Linked DNA regions of Nothobranchius furzeri. The protein of the gene in region 4 purifies or fractionates together with the protein of the main gene of each other region. This does not show direct contact. Links are inferred from orthologs where the notes say so. Each region holds a gene or a part of one and is shown on either strand. Other genes may lie near its edges.

Region 1 (5,256 bases), on a different chromosome or scaffold from region 4:
TCCTTAAGCCTTGGATCCAACCTATCCGTATACAAGGATCCTTCCAGAGCCCAGCCTCCTGCCAGCGTTGAGGGTCAAACACCAGGTCACACAAAGAGTGCTCCTAAAACAGAGAGGCTCCATCACAGGCAGCTTAACACCGTTTAGTAACTTTTAGTTTGAGAATAACTTTTTGCTTTCCTTGACATTGAATGTGCTACTACTAGTTTATCCGTTTAATTATAGATCCACTAGGACAAATACAATAAAGTTTATCTTTCACCAAATAGAATATTTACTAAGACATCACAATATAACTATAGACACACTACTTGGTGTGTGTGTGTGTGTGTGTGTGTGTGTGTGTGTGTGTGTGTGTGTGTGTGTGTGTGTGTGTGTGTGTGTGTGTGTGTGTGTGTGTGTGTGTGTGTGTGTGTGTGTGTGTGTGTGTGTGTGTGTGTGTGTGTGTGCCTGCTCTGTCTTCTCGATCCCCAGTGAGTCGTGGAGGATGGCTGCTTATACTGAGCCAGGATTCTCTGGAGGTTTCTTCCTGTTAAAAGGGAGTTTTCCTCTCCACTGTCGCTTTATGCTTGCTTAGTATGAGGATTGCTGTAAAGTCACTAACACTAGTCAGTGACTTGATGCAATTTGCTGGGTTCCTTATGTATGAAAAATTATTTCTGATTGGCTTAATGAACTGACCTGACCAGGTTTATTATGTGAAGTGCCTTGAGACGACTCTTGTCGTCATTTGGCGCTATATAAATAAACTTGAATTGAATTGAATAGTGATTACAGGAGTTACGAGACTTACCTGAAGAACTTTAAAGCCATTCTCAGTAGCTGAGATTAGGCCGGTGAGTTTCAGCGTGAAGGAGAGGATGCTGGCATCTGAGGCAGGGCTGTTGTTAACTACGGTCGGTATGAAATCAAGCAGACAGGGGAAGGCCTCCAGCAGAGAGACTCCTTCATCAGGTGACATTACAAAACAAAAAGGTGTCACTTAGACACTTAGCTGTGGAAAACTAGATCTGAAAACAACACATTCAGTTAGGTTTCAAGAGAATCTGTTTGGTAATACCTATTCTCCAGTTCCGTATCTACAGACTTTCACCAAATGCAATTTCAACTGACTTAGACATGTGTCCTTTGTACAAGGGAGAATGTTACTTTAGGTATTTTTAATGTCATTTATGACATTAATTATTGACATATAACATTAATTAGGACTATCTGAATATAATTTTAATAGAGAAACTCGCTATAATCTAATAGAAAAACAAATAGGAGTGCTTGCCAGTTATCTTCCAGCCTTATTTGCATCCATTAGGCTGTTTTAAATTAAACATCTCCATTTTACTTTATTTAAAATTAGTTCACAATAAATAAATAAATAAATAGCCAACCAATGAATAATCAGCAGTAGGAGAAAGTAATTTATACATTGAGTGACTACTGGAGCACAAGCCCTCCAGGTTGTTACTGACCATCCTTGGTGAGCGCTGTGAACCAGTCCAGGAGTTTCTCCAGACTGGTATCATCGGGCAGAGAGCTTCCTGAGGCTGCTAGCACCTCACACACCCGCGGCAGGACTGTCACACACTCTCGGTCCATGCTACTGACTAAACGTGTGTTAATAAACGTTACACTGACCTTCTGCTCAACGCTGCATTACTGTAAACGAGCACTGCTTAATGACACATTAAAATGTTTTTATTTTTCGCTCAAAATGAAAGTTAGATCGTTGAGCACATCTCGCGGGAAAAATTCATCACCGCCAGCGCGTCGCTCCACTGTTTTAGCGTGAAGTGAGTCGAACAAATATGGCTGCCTAATTCACTGATCTCTAAACAACTCGGTGAGCTACATCAATGTAAACCGCCGCGCGCTTCCGGTCCTTGTGCCTTACAACTCATTTCTCCGCGGCACGTCTACGCGCTCGCGAGCAGCTTCCGGTGCTGCGTTTCCGTCTCTTCGTCCATTTTCGCACATGCTGCCGCACCGGTCGCTCCTCGTTAGCCTCTCATTTTTTGGGATTTTCATCCCTCGTCGAGAGAATTACGACTTATTCTAACGCTAGATGCAAGACACGGCGGCCATGGTGGACGACCCTGAGTATGAAGAGGAGGAGCCCTCCTTCAGCGATCCGGAGGACTTCGACGATGACATCGAGGACGAGGGTTAGCGGTAGCAGGAAAAACGCCGGCTATCCGGCCTAGTGCTAACTAACCATTAGCTAAGAGACCGATAGCGGTTATGCTCCAAATGGTAGAAATATTACGCGGTGGTCCACCAGAACTTGATAAAAATGTTTAGTAGTCCATAATAGCTTCGTTAACCGAAATAGTGGTGCAACATTTTTTTGTCTCAGCCCCCCACCCTGATGCTATCTGCTACACGTTACGCCCGTTAGCCTCACCTAGACCCCAGACAGCTTACTCAGCGTGGCCTATTTGAAAACGTGCAGGGACGGACCTGAATGCATGAGAACAATCCTCCTGTAGCTGAATGGAGAGTGTGTGCGATTGCAAATGAGCAGCTTGACTTTACCTACACAGTCAAACGCAAAATTAAAGGTTTCTGCTCAGATAGGTGTGCCTAAAATTCATTAAGCGAATTTTGGTAGCAGTACAAAACCGCCCCCCGCCACAGTAGCTTTTATTTGGGTTTTAGACTTAAGATCGGCTTTATAATTAGTAAAAGATTTACTAGCAGTGATCGTTAATTTACTCCATTAAACACAAGTTTCACTTGTTTAATCAAAACTTTGACGCTATTTATTTAATTGTAATTAACTTGAGTTTGTAAAAGCAATGTGTCGTCAAAATATAAGAAGTTTCAGATGATGAGATGTTTAAATTCCAAAGTAAAATAAAATCTTGTGAAAGTTTCCCAAGAGCGATCTAGTTGCACCTAGTTTATAAGCCAGGTATTTGCTAATTACACAAAACGTGTAACTTAGTCTGGGCTTTTGCAGAAACACAACATGGGGGTATTGTAAAGTAAAAACATGTAAAAAAAAATAATAATAATAACAATGGAAAGGCAATTATTCGTTTTCTCAAGAATAATTAATTTTAAATGAATAAATTAAGCTTAATTGTTTTGAGGTAGTATTGACTGTATAAATTATATATATATATTTAATTTATCACATAAGTTAATCAAATACTCATCGATTCTTTGACAGTTTGCATCTGTAAAAATGCCAGTTTCATAGAACATACTTAACTAATCTTTCTTTGTCCGCAGAGCTCCTGGATGACATCCTGCGGGAAAAGCCCCAGGAAGCGGATGGGATAGACTCTGTGGTTGTGGTGGACAATGTTCCTCAGGTGGGCCCAGAACGTTTGGAAAAACTCAAAAACGTCATACATAAGATCTTCTCCAAGTTCGGCAAAATCACCACAGAGTTTTACCCAGAGGCTGATGGCATGACCAAGGGGTACGACCTAGCTGTCTCTTTCTTGCGTTGTTTATCCACGGCTCCACACTTAAATCCAAATACGTGTAACCTAACTTGTGTTTCTGCGCAGGTACATATTTTTGGAGTATGCCGCTCCCACTCAGGCCCTCGAGGCTGTGAAGAATGCAGATGGATACAAACTCGACAAACAGCACACGTTCAGGGTCAACCTCTTCACTGACTTTGATAAGTATGTTTGCAGAATAGGCCAATAGATTTGTTAAACTAACACAAGCCTGACTGAAGTTGTTCATTTCATCTTTTTTGAAACATTTAGGTACATGAACATTTGTGACGAGTGGGAAGCTCCAGAGAAACAGCCTTTCAAAGATTTTGTGAGTTCCACTCTTTATTTTCTTGTGAGGTCCTTATGCTCCATCCTCAGTTTGCTCTTGTTCTCTGTTCAGGGGAATATGCGTCACTGGATCGAGGATCCTGACTGTCGTGATCAGTATAGTGTGATCTACGAAGCTGGAGAGAGGACGGCCATTTTCTCAAATGACGCTAAAGAGCCAATAATAAATGAGGAGAGAGCGGTAAGGTGGTAATTATTAACAGCAATCAGGTTAATGTGATGTGAGGAAAACCTAACGATTTTGTGTTTGGATACAGCGCTGGACAGAGACGTACGTCCGCTGGTCTCCTAAAGGCACTTACTTGGCTACTTTCCATCAGCGGGGTATTGCATTGTGGGGCGGCGAAAAGTTCAAACAGATCCAGAGGTTCAGCCATCAGGGTGTGTCGCTCATCGACTTCTCACCGTGTGAGAGGTAATCCGCACAAAGCCTGCCAAGTCTGATCTCAGTTGATCATATTTGTAATGAGAATTTTTTTTTTCCACCAAACTTTTTTTTTCCTTTCTGTGGGACACTTTGCAGCTTCTTCATATTTTTAAATAATTTTCCTGAGCCAGTGTGTGCTGAAATAACCCTTTACAGGTTTAATGAAAGGCCACCCAGACCCTATCGCCAGAACATTCCTTCTGTTGGGACTTAAAAAAGTTGAGCTGACATAACTGGCGCTGCAGTCTGGTTCCGGACCTTTTCCCTTATGTTTTAGATCGTGAACACTAGGGCTGGGCGATACATCAATATTTTTTAAATATCTGTATAATTATTAAACAAGATATAAGATGACTTAATATTTTTGTATCGATTTAACTGGTCAAACGGCTATGCTAGCGATTAGCCGCTATGCTAGGGACATGTCGCTCTGTCTCTAAGCAGCTATTCTCACAAGATTGCTCAATCTGAGAGCCTCTGGGTAAATGTGCTGTTCTAAACTTTGCATTTGGCGTCCTGGTTTTTAATTATTTGGGGACGTTCAACGCCAACGGAGTTCTGTTTATCCATCCTGCTCGTGCGGAGACGAGCCAAACACCTCCCTCCCCTGTGTAATCGGGAAACATCTACATGTAGCCAGAGTGGCCAAATCACCTCAAACATATTGTAAGGGTAGAATAGTAAACTATAGGGTTAATGTTTTATTTTGAAGGCGAGCTCAGCGGGTGAGAAATTTTGTTCTGATTTTTTTCCGCTCTGGTTAGCTATGCTAGTAAATACTCCATTACGAGCGATTCAGTTGAAAAAGTTCAGAGTTTGTAAGGTGTGGGTTACAGCGACAATAGCATGCAAATCCTCCCCATAAAAGAGCAACCAGAGACTGAGTCACTACAGTATAATCGCTGATATGAGTCAATACTGTTAGATTGCAGCCATGTTTGCCCTCATAACTAATAACTCCACTGTGCGTGACCCAGTAGATGCAATTACATCATCATACATCTAGTTTAACATGATAGATTTTTTTTC
Region 2 (5,176 bases), on a different chromosome or scaffold from region 4:
CCCCACCACCACCACCACACACACACACACACACACACACACACACACACACACACACACACACACACACACACACACACACACACACACACACACACACACATCAAAATTAACCTCGAAACTGACCAAATTCAGTATTGAGTAGAAATACATCAGTCTGTGCGTAATGAATGAATCTAATATACAAGTTTCCCTTTTTGAATGGAATTACTGAAATAAATCAACTTTGTCATGATATTCTAATTCTACCAGCACCTGTATGTATTGGTGTGTGTGTGTGAGAAAATCATTGGGCAGAGGATATATTGTGATCTTTACAGTTTTAATATATGTGTCGATGTATATATTTTAGTATATATGTCGATGTAGAAAACTCAGGCCAGCATTATTGCAATGTCTGATGGAAACTGCTGCCACTTAGTGGTCGGAGGTTGAATTGCAACAGGCAAAAGTAATTTATTAAATGTGTGTAAATTCGCAATAAAAAATTATACACTGCTTAAAACGATCGATTCTGTATCATAACACGAAATATTGTGACACTTAAGTGTATCAATGTATCCTTACATCCCTAATTTGTTTTATATTGCAAAGAAAATGAATGAATCAAGAACATTCAAATAAAAAAAATCTTGCAAATTCATTTGGGAAAAGATAAAAATAAGATTTCATTTGGTCGTATTTTAGACTTGAAAACTAGTTACATCAAATGTATCATGTAAAAATTATTTTCCAGCTCATGATCTAACCAGTTCGGCTGATGAACAGTAAAGTTGATTGTTTTTTATTGGCCACAACAAATATGAATAAAAACAAATTTAAAGCAGGAGACTTAGTTAAAATATCACATTATTGTCTCTGGAATCCCATATTTGTAGAAATTAGATTTATTAGATAATCCACCTTGCCAATATAAATTTAATGTAACATAACATATTATTTGTTTTGACATAGCTAAAATGTTAAACTCTAGAACTCCAAATATAATGAAGATACTAGTAATGGCAAGTAAAATAATTCAAATGTATGTTTAATTGCAGATATACGATAAAGTCAACATTTTGTTTTATCTATTTAGCATAGTTTATTTTTACTATTCAGCTTCTACACATTCAAACTATAACATTTATTTTACTTTACTTTTTTCTGATGGTCGTACACGATCCAGCTCTCCACACTTCCAAAATTATTTTAAAATTGTTTGATGGTTTAATTCATACATTCGTTGACATACTGGAAAATTCTGTGCCCATCTTGTCTCCTCAAATATTGATTTGGCGTTTAGTCTTCTTGAAATCATCTTTTAATAGTAAATTCGTTTATGATAACATTGTCTACTTTGAAACAAACACGTAGCTATTTTGAACGTTTTTCAGCTGATATGCAGGAAAAACAGCCGGTGAGACAATATAAAGTTAAATAACGTCGTATGCACATCACTGGGCATAGTGAGTAATGTCTCAGTCTGTCCCTCACAGAAAACAGACACAACTGGTTCTCAAAAACTCAGAAACTCCCAAAAAGTCTTGATGGTAGATTTTAAACCATGAAACAAAAATGGTGAAAAAACCAAATAATTATAGAATAATGAAACTTTTGAATAATGTTACGAGATTCCCGTATTTTAAATAATTTTAGGAATATTAATTGTATAAAAACATTTTCATTGTGACATTTATTGCAGTCTTTATGAAGAAAATATTTAAATGTCCCGTAACTTAAAAGTAAGTGCAAACAGACTGAAGAGCACTAGTCAGGTGCGGTGATTCATTTCGTGTATTAATTTTATTTTCTGGTCCCCCCCCCCCCCCCCCCCCCCCCCCCACACACACACACACACACACACACACATTTCTGGCTGATGGAGGAGCTCCGTCTCGGTTAACTTCCGGGTGATGTTTACCGCAGAACTGCTGGATGTGCCTCCACCACCACCGCCACCCATCAGTCAGAGTCAATCAATCAGACACATTATCAATCACCTCGGACCTGCTGGGCTTACATCACCGCGCGGACATCAAAGTTAACCCGCGAGCCAACGACCATTGATGACGTTTTCTGCGCTCCAGCTTCCGACGACGAGGTTAGCCGGCTAACTTTAGCCTCCGAAATGACGACGCTGATAATTATTGCGGTTAATTCGTGTTTCGTATGCAAGAAGATGTGAATTCAGACGGTAAATGTCTTTGTGATTCCACATTTTTGAGGCAGAGTTTGTATTTTAAAGTTGTATAAACTAAACAGGTAATCGTTACTCGTTAGCTTAGTTAGCATCAGTTGAATTTCTAACAGAGGATGTTACCTAATCTTCCTGACAGTTACAACTGGTCCATCTAGTTAGCTTGTGGAGTAGCCCGTTGTTCACATCCTTCATAGCCGTTTGAGGGAATTAAATGTGTATTTGAGAGGAGAAGCTCTTCAGAACCAGAACATAGCGGTGATGGAGCATGAACGGGCCTAGAGGAGAGGAATCTGTAGACAGCAAATATATCAGACTTCCAGAGCTACACGTTACTTTAGAGAAGTATACACCGATTTAAGAAAGGTGTGAATAAGCTCAAACGACTGCTAAGACATACATGGTGACGGGAAGTTTTAATATGTCGGAAAAAATTATGATAGACTTAAAACGGCTACGAAAGAAACGTTGAATTATAGGAAACGGATCAGGTAAAGATCAACATCACAAAACAAGTGAAACACGATCTGATCAAATAAAACATCTTTTATATATTTTATTGTACATAGTAGTTGAAAAAAATGTGGATTTTTGAGCCCATATCTACACAACCAAAGTCTTTAGGGATTTTCAGAGAACAGGGCAAGGCAGTTTTATTTATTTGGTACATTTCACACACAGAGGCGGTTCAATGTGCTTGCCAACTAACAAGAATAACAAGAACATTAAAATCAATACGACATCACAATTATAATACACACAAATTCAATTTAGATTTAAAAATGAAAGAAGAAAGCAGTTACAGTGCAGAATGTGCAGTGTTATATAAACAGCCATTCAAAGGCTGATGAAAACATGAAAGTTTTCCATTTTCATTTAAAAGTTACATGAGTTGAGTTGGGGCACATTTGAGGTCATAAGCAAGCTGATTTATTCTGTGTGCAGCATTGTAGCTAAAAGCAGCGTCACCCTGTTTGGTTCTGACCCAGGGTTTTACCAGCTGCCTGTTTACTAAGGATCTCAGAGCCCTGCTGGGTTTATGTACCTGAAGGAGGTCCGACATGCATTCTGACCCCATGCCATTGAGTGATTTTTAAACTAATAGAATCACTTTGAAATTGATTCTGTAGTTTACTGGTAACCAGTGAAGAGATTAAGGAACAGGAGTGATGTGTTTCGCTTCTCTTGGTTCTTGTTAAGGCTCTAGCAGCAGCATTCTGAATAAGCTGCAGTTGATTCACAGCTTTCACAGATCATTTTAAATGTAAAATTGTTAAATTTTAGAAATATTTTTCTAAAAATTTCTTGAGAATTGATCTGCAATAATTTGTTCTAAAGGCAAATGAAAAGTCCAAAGTTGTAACTTATTTTGTCTAATTGTTTAATGATTATTTATTTTTACTAACTTTGCACATTTGCATGCAGCTGCACACTTGATACTTTTGTTGTTTTTAGACCATTTTTATACCAGTTATATGCAGATAACAGCCAAGTCGGTAATAAAAAAATAACTTCCAGGTTTTTCTGCTCTTTTCTTTTTTTCCCAACAGCTGGCGGTTCTTCATCCCATCCTGTCTAACATCCGTCTCAGGGGCTTCACTCAGTCAATAATTGTAGCTTTGTCGGTCTGCACAGCCACCCCTGTGGACCAGGTCAGTGCTTTTCACCAGAGAGCACAAGCAGCCAATGCCAATGGTAAACACAACACAGGGATCTTAGAGCCTCAAACTCAGTACAGCCGCTGCGCTGCCTTCCAGTATCGCGACAACAAGTATTCTGAGGAAGGGGGAGTTTCCCGACACGGAGCGTCGAAGCTCGCGATGCCCGGATCCTCGCCGGCCAGCAGCAAGGCTCGGGTGTACACCGATGTCAACACACAGAAGAACAGAGAGTATTGGGACTATGACGCACACATGCCAAACTGGAGGTACAGAATATCTTACTACAGTTACCATCAGCATAATCAAACAGCTTTTTATTCACACTTAAAATATTTTTCTCTTTTCAGCAACCAAGACAACTACCAGCTGGTGCGCAAACTGGGCAGAGGGAAGTACAGTGAAGTATTTGAGGCCATAAATGTAACAAACAATGAGAAAGTTGTGGTGAAAATCCTCAAGGTGAGATGTCTTGACTTCCCAGCAGTCCATCCTGTAACAAATGTCATGTATGTAGGTTTATTTGTCTTACACAATTGTCTGAGTAATCCATTTTCATGTTCTGAGGTCACGGACAAAGTGCTTAGACTTTATTTTTCCTTGTATGTAGCTTTTTTGAGTGGATCTTTGTACCTCCTTTCATCCTCAGCCCGTCAAGAAGAAGAAGATCAAACGGGAAATAAAAATTCTTGAAAACCTGCGAGGTGGAACCAACATCATCCGCCTGATTGACAACGTCAAAGACCCAGTGGTGAGTCTGAAACACGCTGTGGCTGTTTTGCATGTCGGCGTGTCAGCCGCGTTAATCCGGTCATGCTAATGATCCGCACGTACCTGCTACTGTTGTCAGTGAAGCCGTGTGTTGTCCTCTCTTTGCAGTCCAGAACACCAGCACTTGTCTTTGAGTACATCAATAACACAGATTTTAAGGTACTTGAGTTTGGCTGACACCGAACTACCATTCATGCATCTATTTCCATTAATAATCAGCTGCATAACCTTACAGTCTTAAAGTAGAAACCTCTGACACCATATCGCAGCAGTTCCTTCTAAATGTTTCATGTACGAATCTTTCATTTGGTCCGCAGGAGCTCTACCAGAAACTGACCGACTGCGATATCCGTTACTACATGTACGAGCTCCTTAAGGTGAGAGTTTTCTAAGCCTTTGTCACGGTGAAATAGATGAGACAGCAGAAAAAGTAGTAGAGCGTTGTTGTGAGGGATGTTTCAGGGCTCTAGAGTGCAAACATTCTAGTCACAAATGGAGAAGGAAAAGTCTCAGATGCTGAAAGTCTCTGTGACACACACACACACACAAACGCACGCACGCACACACT
Region 3 (5,489 bases), on a different chromosome or scaffold from region 4:
TTCACTCTCCTGATGCAAATGGGTACCACCCATCCTTTGCATCAGCCATGCATTTGTTAAAAAAAACACACACAGTCTGTCAAATTCCAAAATAACAGGGGAAAAAAGACAAATCAGCTTTTTTGTTGCTGTTTTTGCTGTTGCATGAGTATACGACTGATGGTGCCAAATAAATTAATGCAAAACCTTTTAGAAGATTTAGATTTGATGTGCATCTATTAGCGTTTGGCCAGCAGGAGGCAGCATAAATCAGCCAAGAGCCTTGCTGTCTTGACAGATTCTGAGACATGCGTGCATTTTTAGTCTGAACACAACTAAACCTTTCAGGTTCACTTTCAAATGATCTCAAGTCACTGATAAAAGATGCAAAATCTGTTTTTTCTGATCCTTAGTAATTCACTATGTCTTGTATGTCTGTATGTCTTGTTGTGGCAGAATTTTCAGTTTTTCAGATTCAGAGTGTTGCCTTAAACCCCAAAACAATCGTAGGGAGGATGAGAGGATGTGCAGCATCTGGACTCCTCCTTCTATGATCCATGCTGAAATGCTCAAAAACCTCCCTGAATAACAGGTGTCAGCCGCAGATGCTGCTTTAATATGGATTACTGATCCCCTCTCACCATCAGGTGTTGACTTTGAACTCTGTGATGATGACTGACAAATCTTCAGCTTTCACCTAGTCCATCTGCTGGGTTTTGGTCCTGCTAATTTAGCAGGTATTTATAGATATTTCAGTTTTGGTTAAATGGGGGGAAATACCTTTCATTGTCATTTTAATATTTTAAACATTTTCTGAGCAATTTTGTGATTTCCATCACAGACAAATGGGATGCAGCCCCATCAGAAAACTTTTTTATATATTAAGATATTAGAAAACACAACAGCATAAATAATGCTGAACTTTTTTTTTTAATTTCACAATAAAACCCACAGCCCAAAATGAGTCCTTGCTGTTACCTCATTCATAACAGCTGGAATTAATATTGCATATATTCTCAGAAAATGATTTAATTCTGTTTAATTTGCAATGTAATTTATCGTATTTTGCTTGTTAAATGATGATTATACTTCACTCTAATAGGTCAGTTTAAATAAGGTATGGAGGACATTAATGTTGCATTATTTCTTATATCAGGTAAGGTTTTGAGACTACATGGGCGAAGTTTTATTGGGGGGGCCAAAGAGGACATGTCTCCCTCACTTTTTCCAAAGCAAGTTTTTGTCCCCTGCACGTTTTACCGTCCAATAAACAATATTACACCATATTAAATAGACACTAGTTGAGCTCTAAGTCCGAGCGGAAAACAGCCGCTTGTGTTGAAGCCCCTTCCCATTAGAACTGTCCACAAGCACATCTATTGGCTCTACTGATACTTGCTAACGAGTGATTGGCCGTTCCTGCCACCTGTGTACTTGACAGTTCTGCATCTCTGCATAAAGGAGCCTCTAGGTTGTAGTTTTTTATATATATTTTTTGCATACTTACTGTAAAGACCCCACCAGAACTCATGCCAGTTGTGCCCCCCCCCCCCCCCCCCACACACACACTTCTAAAGTCAAAACTACGTCCATGGACTGCAATATGACTACAATCATACATTTATTTTTTGAATAAAATCCCCAAAGTGAACATTATGATAACGTTTTTACTTATTGCTGTAAAACTGTTATTTCTGGGCTTGTGATTAAACACTTAGCAACACTTTGGTAAAACTCTCTGATCGTTTTTATAAAAGTGAAACACATCGTGGCTGGTGGCAGAAACACCAGGAAGCATCAGCAGATGTGGGTATTTTATTTATTTATTGTAATAACTTTATTGAACATATTTAGATACAACTTCATTTCAAAACATGTGAGAAAATAACATGTTATAAAGGAGCTCAAAAGTCCATGTTCTGGCAATCCTGGGTTTATCAATTCAGAAATGAAAAACAATGAAGTATGAACAGAAAATGAAAGAATAGGAGATATCAGTAAGATAACATGAAGGGCAAATAATATGTGTATATACAAACTGGGAGTTTGTCAAGAGGATAGCTAGTAATAAAGCAAGGCATTCTGCCATATTATTAAATTATCTACAAGAGGGTTAAAAATTTGTTTGCAGATGTGGGTCAGGTCAGGAAGTAAACAAGGGTGGAGGCGCGCGCAGGCACGTGAACGGCCATTGCGCGCTCCCGATCATAAAACCTCTGACGCCTTCATCCGGGAACCTCAACGAACTCGTTCTCCAACATGGCGGCGTCAGGTGAGGTTTATGTAGAGTGATCGATCTGAGTCGATTATTGGGAATTTCTCTCGTTTATGGTTTCGGACAGCTTAGAATAATAAATGTGAGGAATACCGGTTCGCCCCCTTTCGAGTCTGTGTCGTTGTCTCGCGCCTGTTCGTCATTTATTGATTGTTTTTGCCCGCTAAAACGGCGAAGCTGGTGGTGGAAGGCGGAATGAACGAAGCAACGAGCGTTTTTAAGCTAACCTAATCAAACTAACTTGCTTATGGAACTAACGTTATGTCGGTGTGTGGTGCGTCTGCTTCCCTGCTTATTTTGGTAAAAGGTGTACGAGGTGCTGGTCGACCTGCGGCTCAATGTTCCCAACTGCGTGAATGGCTGCTGGCACATTTTAAGTCAGCGGTGGAGCTACGCCGTGGCGCTCAGGGCAAACAGGCATCGGGCGCAAGCGCGATTTGTGGAGGAGGGGTTGGGCCGAGAGGGATCCGGAGCCGCCTGAAGAGTCCCCACGTGTGCGGAGATGCTCTCCGGTGTCTGCGTTTGATTAAGCGGGGCAGCTGGGCCTGTGGGGTCGCATCCTAAACTCTTCGCTGTCAGCTTCCCAACTTTGAGCTGGCTTTTCCGGCCGGCTAAGTATTGCAGCGTTGATGGCGCACTTGGATCCTGACGCTGCGACGTGCGCTAGGCCCTAAACGTAGCCAGCTAAAGAGCAGAGACTTCCCCCGTCAGCAGTCCTCCGCTGACTAAGCCAGCAAAGACATTGAGACAAAAGCGATCATCAAGCCTGCTAACTGCGAGCCCTCAGGCTTCAAACGCAGCCTTAAAGAGTCCGGAGAAGTGCTCTTGCTTTTTATGTTTCGCAGATCTCGATGAATGTGGAAAAAATAACATAACGGAAAAGCATTCGTGTTTACTCTTTAGTGAAAATTTTAAAATATACTGAAAAGTGTTTTCTCAGACTAACAAGATATCATTAAAATGGACATTATGACATTTTTAAGGCTGAGAAACCTCACAGGCATACAGGTTACTACACCTCTACAGGGTTCATTGACAGGCGTTGATCATGTGACCGACCAGGTTGACTCCTGTGATATTTTAAGGCAATAAACTCATTAGGAACAGAGGTGTCAACTATATTTTAGAAGTCTGTCTAGATGTATTATTTGAAAAAACCAAAATCGGCTAGAAATAGAAAACATGTCTGAAAACGTTTACGTTTCAGAAACTAGTCAACATAACCACAGTTTTCCCATATGAATACAGATGCACTATTTGGGTGTTTTTTAGATCTGATATTTGACTCGTGCTCTTCTGACCTGCTACTGAACAATGGTTAACATAATGCAATTTATCTTTTCTGATTAAGTTTGAAAATTATGATCCTGGTCCACATGTCTGTTATTGCTAGCTTGAACTAGTACTTAGCAGTGGTGAGTTAACAAACCAGGAGTGTAGTATGTTTTTTTTTTTAATTTATTTAATCTTTTTTTTTGCTGTGCTAGGGAATTATGTTAATAGACACACACTTTCCACAAAAAATTAAATAAAAACGTATCTGAGTTAATAAGTAGGTAATTTCTGATTTAACTTCCAATGCTCGATATAGGGAGCCCAAGTCTGCCGTAGTCCCTGGATCACACATGTTGTACTGCAATTTAAATAAAAAGTAATGATGGGTGTTATGACTACACCAGTCACATACTTTGAGATTTATTAGCTTGTAAACGTTTGTAATTAGCATGACTATAAACGAGAAATCGGCACGTCGCATATGTGAATCTCCTCTCCCCAAAGTAGCTGCTACTTACCAAATGACCAGATTTGTGGTTGTTCTTTCCTCCTGTGGGAAGTTTGCTGTATTAATGCTCTTTTCCCTCAGTTTTCTCCATGTCTGGTTTGATGTCACTTTCGTGAAGCGCATTTATAGTCCTGGACTTATTTTCACACAAAATCTAAAACAGTGTTTCCCCCTGTTCGAAAATAAGCGTGTCATTGTTATCAAAATGTGTCTTTAAAATTCACAGACATCATATGTGAAATCCATGGCACAAAACAAGCGGAATTAGAAAATAGTCTTTTAGCTTCATTGACTTGCATTCATTTTTTCGTTCTTCCGGGGACCCATGGTCCGGAAGTAGATGGGTGTGATTTAGGCTCCTTGTAGGATAACTGATCCAAAACAAATTTAAGTGCATTTTGATATTTTAGCTTTTACAGAAAGGGAAAATTAGTCCTAATCCAGCTCCGTAGAATCAGATTAGTGCAGATCAAAGAGCAGGCTGCATGGTGGGTTATTACAAGAGTACCAGCCGTTAAAGTGGGCATATGCTTTTTTTATCATCACTTTTTTGCAAATATTTTAGAGTGTGAAACTTACCTTCACTGTTACCATGTGTGATTATTAGGGCTGCACGATATTAGGAAAACCTGCGATATTCGATAATAATGATTAATATTGCGATGACGATATTACTTACGATAAATAAAAACTTAACTCAGGAACAAAATTAATCAAAAACAAAGAAATAAAAAATTTATAAAAATGAGAAAAGCTAAAGATGTGAAGGAAGGGAAAAAGGGAATGAACAAGAAAAGGCAATCAGTGGCTCCCGGGAAAAGCAGAATCAGCGAAAAGAACAGACCAAAGCTAACTCAGGTGTATGCTAACCATCAAAATGAAGTGCCGCCCGCCTCGGGGGCGGGCATCTGACCTATGAGAACCCACCCAATTGGCCAAATGGGTGAAGAGCTCTATTTGATTTGTTAAAAAACATAATGCTTTCATTTGATTGACAGAATGCATTATGTGTAGCAAACATTTGAGCTGAACATTCAATGCAATATTTATCTGTTCTTTGCTATATGCATATTGTGTATGCTGATATCACGATAACGATATATTTACGATATATTGTACAGCCCTAGTGATAATGTAATTTCATGTATGAGTAGTTCACTGACAGTTGGGATTAAAACAAATCTAACCTGTTTCCAGAGCAGAGTGAAGCCCCCTGGGCAGCTGTTGCTGGCTGCACACAATCTGGAATGTTTCGTTGTGGGAAAGAAACGTCACCGCCTTGTGAATGTAGACAAATGATTTCCTTCCAGTTGGTTATGATTATTAATTCTTTATTTTATTGCTTAATTAATTTCTTTATCTAGTCGTAAAGACATGAGCTCCTGCTGTCTTTAAACCAAGTGAGAGGTTTCAGAAATTTGGAATATATTATTATTTATTTAGGCTCTTTAA
Region 4 (5,344 bases):
CACTACATGTAGGGATTTAGGACAGTTGTTTGCAGCTTGAGTTTGTCATTTGTTGGAAGCCTTTGCATTATTGCTACTGCTCATGTCAATATTACCATGTTATTACATTTTCAATACTGCAACATCAATAATCATCTACACCGTACAGGGGTCCTCAGTTATAACGGTCCGAGGGCTACTCACAAAAAAGACCCAGAAGCAAGAGGGCCGGATTTTTGGGGGGGGGGGGGGGGGGGGGGGGGGCTGCTGTTTGGATCGCTGGCTGTGATGCACATAACACACAAGCTTGCAACATAAAGAAGTACCTTTCTCAGCGGCCTAGAGGTAGAGTGTCCGCCCTGAGACTGGGAGATCAGGGTTTGATTCCTGGCCGGGTCATACCAAAGACTTAGAAAAAATGGGACCCAATGCCTCCCTGCTTGACACTCAGCATTAAGGGGTTGGATTGGGGGGTTGAACCACCAAATAGTTCCCGAGCGCGGCTGTGTCTGCAGTTCACTGCTCCCCCAGGGGATGGGTCAAATGCGGAGAACAAATTTCGCACACACACCTGTGTGTGTGACAACTAATGGGACTTTAACTTTAAGAACACCTGTCCCTCTCCAGCTCAGCTGTGTGACTGCACTAACCTGTCCTGTGGGACCCTCACCATGTAACCCTCATGTCCATGCCGTCTCTGGAGGAGCAGATCATACAAGATCTCCCGTAACTTAAAATGAACCAAAGCCTCCTCCCAGTTTCTCTTTAAGCTGAATTTAACATCAGTTTATCATCATTAAACAAAAGAATAAAGTGGAACAATAACTTCTATCTTCTATTTCTCTCTCCTTTTAACTTCTCCGTGTCCCTAAATAAAAGAGACAGATGATCACGCTGCAGCCGCCGTCACTCACCCCGCTCCCTCCCCAAGGCCAGATCTCTCGACATCACAACACTGACTGAGCGCTTCGAAGAGAAATAATAATGAAATTATGAAAATAATAATGCGTGTTTGGAGGAGTGTCCTCCGACCCCCTCATCTCAGTCGCCGATTGAGCGAGCAGAGTGCGCCGTGCGACAACCCGCTCAATTAACATAATTCACGGCCCAAATCCAACAGAACCAATTGGGCTGATTCGGTTCGGTCTCAGGTTACAACTCCAGCACTCAGCCCTGCAGTACCACATAAAGGCGGACCAAAGTTTCCTACCCGGTAAATGTGGAGAACACCCACTTTGACAGATTTGGATGCTGGTGCCGCCGTTAAAATAACAAAACCACATTCCACTATAATTGATTAAGGTACTCTTCTATGACGCAGAAATAGTTTATGCCCGCATCTCATGCATTGATTATGAGTATTTTCCTCAGCTCTATCTATGCTACACCTCCCGGTCGGCCATCGCGGGTGGGGGTTTGGGGGCCACAAAGAGAGGGCTCGCCGGCCGGACGTGGCCCGCGGGCCGCCATTTGCGGACCACTGATCTACACACATGGTGATATTACCTCCTTATCTGGATCACCTACGTATGTAAACATCCCACCAGTTAACTAAATATATTCTAATGTTACTTTTATATCAGATACACTAGCCCACATCAAAACAATAAAATATGCAGTAACATTTATGCATATTTATTACTAGATGGCTGTATATCACTTTATACCAAAATGGGCAACATTTATTCTGAAGAATTTTTCCCACAACCTTGAATGTGTGTAAATTGACAGAAAATACTTTAATGTTTTTATGCATTCATTGAGAAGATAAGGTGTTTTTCACCGTTCTTAAAACAGTTGAAATAAAGATTATTCTCAAAACTAAAAACTTATGTACACTTGACATTTCATGGGAATAATGCAAATACTCATACAGATAAAGATCATTCTTTCAGCATTTCCAGAAGTTTGAAAAACACCTTGTGTCACTTAGTTATTACAGTAATTTCTACTAAAACCTAACATTTAAACTAGGTAATTTGTTTATGTTTATGTATTTAGCAGACACTTTTGTCCAAAGCGACTTACAAGTTATAATCGGCATGTTGCCCTTGAGGCTAACAACAACAAACAATTTTCAGTCAGTCGTAGGTGGCAGTGAGGCTGCATGATGAATCACGGAGAGGAGGGAACACGGAGTGGACAGGAGAGAGGAGGACGGGTGCAGGGAAGGTGCTAGTTTAGAAGATGCTCTCTGAAGAGCAGGGTCTTCAGGAGTTTCTTGAAAGTTGAAAAAGAAGCCCGTTCTTGTAGTGCTTGGTAGGCGAGTGTGCTCTTTTTGGCTGATTGAAGACCAGATGTGCCGTTGCGTTCTAGACCATTTGAAGAGGTCTCACAGTACAGACTGGAAGACCAGTTAGAAGGGCATTGCAGTAATCGAGGTGGGAGATGACAGTAGATTGCACCAGGAGCTGGGTGGCATGTTGTGTTAGGTATGGTCTGATCTTTCTTATGTTATACAGCGCCAAGCGGCATGAACGAGCAACAGAGGTAACATGATCTTTAAAGGTCAGGTGTTCATCAATCTCAACACCCAGATTTCGAACTGCCTTTGAAGGAGCCAGAGATAGGAAGTCATTTTGGATTGAGATATTGTGCTGTATGGATGGTTTTGCTGGGATGACAAGTAGTTCAGTTTTAGAGAGGTTCAGTTGGAGATGGTGGGATTACATTATTATGCACTGCTACTACTTGCCCACTTAATCAGCTTCAAGTAAAAATATAAATCTTTAACCATTTTAATTTTGGCTGTCAAGTTATTTTACCGAATATGAGCTGTAAACGATAAACAATGAATGTGGTAGTATCAACAATCCATTATTTGGCTCAACTCCTGTAACACACTTCCGTTTTTCTGTTACAATCCCAGTGATCGATGCAAACTGCCAGCTAGCAGCAGAAATACAGGGTCCCAATGCAGCCTGTGACAATCAAGACTAGAATACAATGAATTCGTGCTTTTTGTAGCTCACCTCATCTTCGGACTCGTTGTGAGGGACAGAGAAGCAGTTGGTCACCTCAATAGAGTGCTTGTCAATAGTACCTAGAACACACCAGATAGAAATGAGTGTCTCGTTGGGTTTCCTGGTGAATCAGCATTTACGTTCAGCTCCAGCGGTTACCAGATGCGGTTTGATTCAACACTGAACCGAGCCAACGTGCGCTAGCAGATTAGCTGAGGAGTTAGCTATAGCATTTTAGCTAGGAAAATTAAGTCTCCTCCCCCGGCTGGACAGATATTTCAGGTTTCTGCTTACCCAAGAGAGTTCCGATCACTCGACTTGCCCCCTCATTCCGACGCTCGTAAGAGTCAGAGATAGAAGCAAGAACGACGGGATGAATTTTCACCACTGGCCCGAACACCGACATCTTGGAGAAAGAGGACGTACCACCGTCCACAGCGACAACATACACCGCCACCTAGAGGCGGGCGGGCAAACTGCAGCTATTGAATCCTACGCTAATAAACAACTCGTCAACAGTGACGACCCAACAGGTAAACACCTGTTTCTGAAAGCAAATAGAACATACTCTTTTTGATTTTTCATGGTTTAGGGCGTAACTTGTATAGTTTTGCAACAATAAACGCACACAAAACAACAAATGCAACTGTTTATTTAATTAAAGCTAAATGTCACACATTTATGATTAAATGCAAAAACTGCAGTTGCTGTGGGGTCAGCAGGTGGGTGGAGGAAGACCGTCCCCCTTCTGTTGTAGAGATGAGATGAGCCTGAGCGAGGAAGGGTTACAGGGGCTGGACTGATGATGACAGCGTCCTCCGCCGCTCAGAGGCTGCACACCTGCCGACTCCATGAGACGCACAGATGAGATGATGGAGCTTTTCGCGCTGCCGGCTCATCCTGTTGCCACCATTTCGCACATCCTGGCACATGTTTTACAGACGCCTCTGCGCAGTCGTTGAAGTTAAAATGTGTGTTTTCTCACCGGATGACGTTTTTATTTACTGCGATTATTGAGCGATCGTTTTCGAGGCGCTTTCTTCCCCTTCTCCGGGTCGGTTTCCCGGACCGGCTCGCTGGTAGCTATAAAGAGCAGAAATGGGAGTCACCGAATCAAGGTTGCCAGCACCGGTTCGTTCATGGACCAGATGGTTGTTCATAGGATAAAACATCAGCTCGATCAATGCCAGAAGTTTCCACACTGAGCGGGTAGGTTTTTATTCATTCTCTGCTGGTTTTGGCACGAATCCGCTCTCTGGATCGTTTGGTTTCTGTTGCATTGTGGCTGACTCATTGACACTGTCAAGAGGCTATTTCTGATCCATCCATCAGGGGTGATGCGTCATCTTGATCTATCTCTCCTCCTGCATGGACGCACAACATCTAGGTCTGTGGAGGACCTGGACTCCATTTTACTGTGCAAATGATTCAGGAACACCATGCCTCACTGCATGTTTAACTCTGAGTCCTCTATGGGACTTATGTAAGAAATCTCAGCAGGCTCACAGAATAAATCCAACACATTTAACATCAAGTGCATGCTCACACACACACACACACACACACACACACACACACACACACACACACACACACACACACACACACACACACACACACACACACACACACACACACACACACACACACACACACACACAGAGCCCAAAGCTTTTTGTGAAACTAGCATAATTAAAGTGGCTCTAATGTGCAGCTGCTCTCCAGGATTAGGTTGCCTCTCAAAGGAGAGATTTATTCTGTCCTTGTGTTTCATAAAAACACACATTAACTAACAATAAATGAACAACATAATAATTTCTCTTACGCTGTATAATAAATCAAGTTTGTGCTGTGTGTTATTGCAGAAAAGACAATTTTAGTCAACAATTCCATAAACCCTAAAGGCGTGGGAAACTCATTTAAGCAACTGGTAGGAATGAGTGCCTTGCAAGCTTTACTCTGGGCAAAGAAAGCCCAGAAACGCCTGGATCAGCATGGGCAAGTCTGCCTAGAGGAGAGCTCAACATGGCAGGATTTGGGCTCATATTTCATAATATTTGGACATCTGGCCTCAGATTGGATGACAGAACTGTGACTCTACCTCTGACTTTGTTTGCTCTGAGACATGGATGTTTTATCTCCACAAATAACACAAGCCTGGGGGAGCTTCTGCCATATGGTTGATTTGCTAATGCTAACACTAACAGTTAGCTTCTGCAGGCCAAGATGCACTCTGCTAATTCTAGATGCTAAAGCAACAACAGCCTTCCCCGTCCAGAGCCAGGATGGGTGAAGCTACCGCTTGACGTAGATCTGCCAGGCTTTTCTGATCCTAGCGTTTCACTGTCTATTTTCTGTCAGAAGCTAATGCAGGAGATAGGTGTAGGAGACTATTTTCATGT

What was found. The genes of interacting proteins can lie anywhere in the genome.
Region 1: the proteins of eif3f (region 4) and eif3ba purify together in Homo sapiens (affinity purification with mass spectrometry; 14 studies listed by BioGRID and IntAct, counting the BioPlex papers as one, with this or other methods). This does not show direct contact. The link is inferred for Nothobranchius furzeri from reciprocal best matches to the Homo sapiens genes EIF3F and EIF3B.
Region 2: the proteins of eif3f (region 4) and casein kinase II subunit alpha' purify together in Homo sapiens (affinity purification with mass spectrometry; 3 studies listed by BioGRID and IntAct, with this or other methods). This does not show direct contact. The link is inferred for Nothobranchius furzeri from reciprocal best matches to the Homo sapiens genes EIF3F and CSNK2A2.
Region 3: the proteins of eif3f (region 4) and eukaryotic translation initiation factor 4B purify together in Homo sapiens (affinity purification with mass spectrometry; 3 studies listed by BioGRID). This does not show direct contact. The link is inferred for Nothobranchius furzeri from reciprocal best matches to the Homo sapiens genes EIF3F and EIF4B.

Annotation. Positions count from the first base shown.
Region 1 is NC_091744.1:16,239,139-16,244,394, reverse strand, and holds the start of eif3ba (eukaryotic translation initiation factor 3 subunit B), read left to right. Parts: upstream 1-1,930; 5' UTR 1,931-2,059; coding exon 2,060-2,159; intron 2,160-3,231; coding exon 3,232-3,424; intron 3,425-3,515; coding exon 3,516-3,635; intron 3,636-3,722; coding exon 3,723-3,780; intron 3,781-3,852; coding exon 3,853-3,981; intron 3,982-4,057; coding exon 4,058-4,215; intron 4,216-5,256. Other genes in the region: brat1 (BRCA1-associated ATM activator 1), read right to left, coding at 1-103, 794-945, 1,467-1,593.
Region 2 is NC_091749.1:31,587,867-31,593,042, reverse strand, and holds the start of casein kinase II subunit alpha', read left to right. Parts: upstream 1-1,850; 5' UTR 1,851-2,176; intron 2,177-3,729; 5' UTR 3,730-3,831; exon of another isoform or gene 3,832-3,936; 5' UTR 3,937-3,999; coding exon 4,000-4,106; intron 4,107-4,187; coding exon 4,188-4,299; intron 4,300-4,486; coding exon 4,487-4,588; intron 4,589-4,716; coding exon 4,717-4,767; intron 4,768-4,925; coding exon 4,926-4,985; intron 4,986-5,176.
Region 3 is NC_091743.1:53,295,963-53,301,451, reverse strand, and holds the start of eukaryotic translation initiation factor 4B, read left to right. Parts: upstream 1-2,163; 5' UTR 2,164-2,238; coding exon 2,239-2,251; intron 2,252-5,489. UniProt on the Homo sapiens protein: Required for the binding of mRNA to ribosomes. Functions in close association with EIF4-F and EIF4-A. Binds near the 5'-terminal cap of mRNA in presence of EIF-4F and ATP.
Region 4 is NC_091751.1:40,239,304-40,244,647, reverse strand, and holds the start of eif3f (eukaryotic translation initiation factor 3 subunit F), read right to left. Parts: upstream 3,395-5,344; 5' UTR 3,349-3,394; coding exon 3,237-3,348; intron 3,023-3,236; coding exon 2,952-3,022; intron 1-2,951. UniProt on the Homo sapiens protein: Component of the eukaryotic translation initiation factor 3 (eIF-3) complex, which is required for several steps in the initiation of protein synthesis.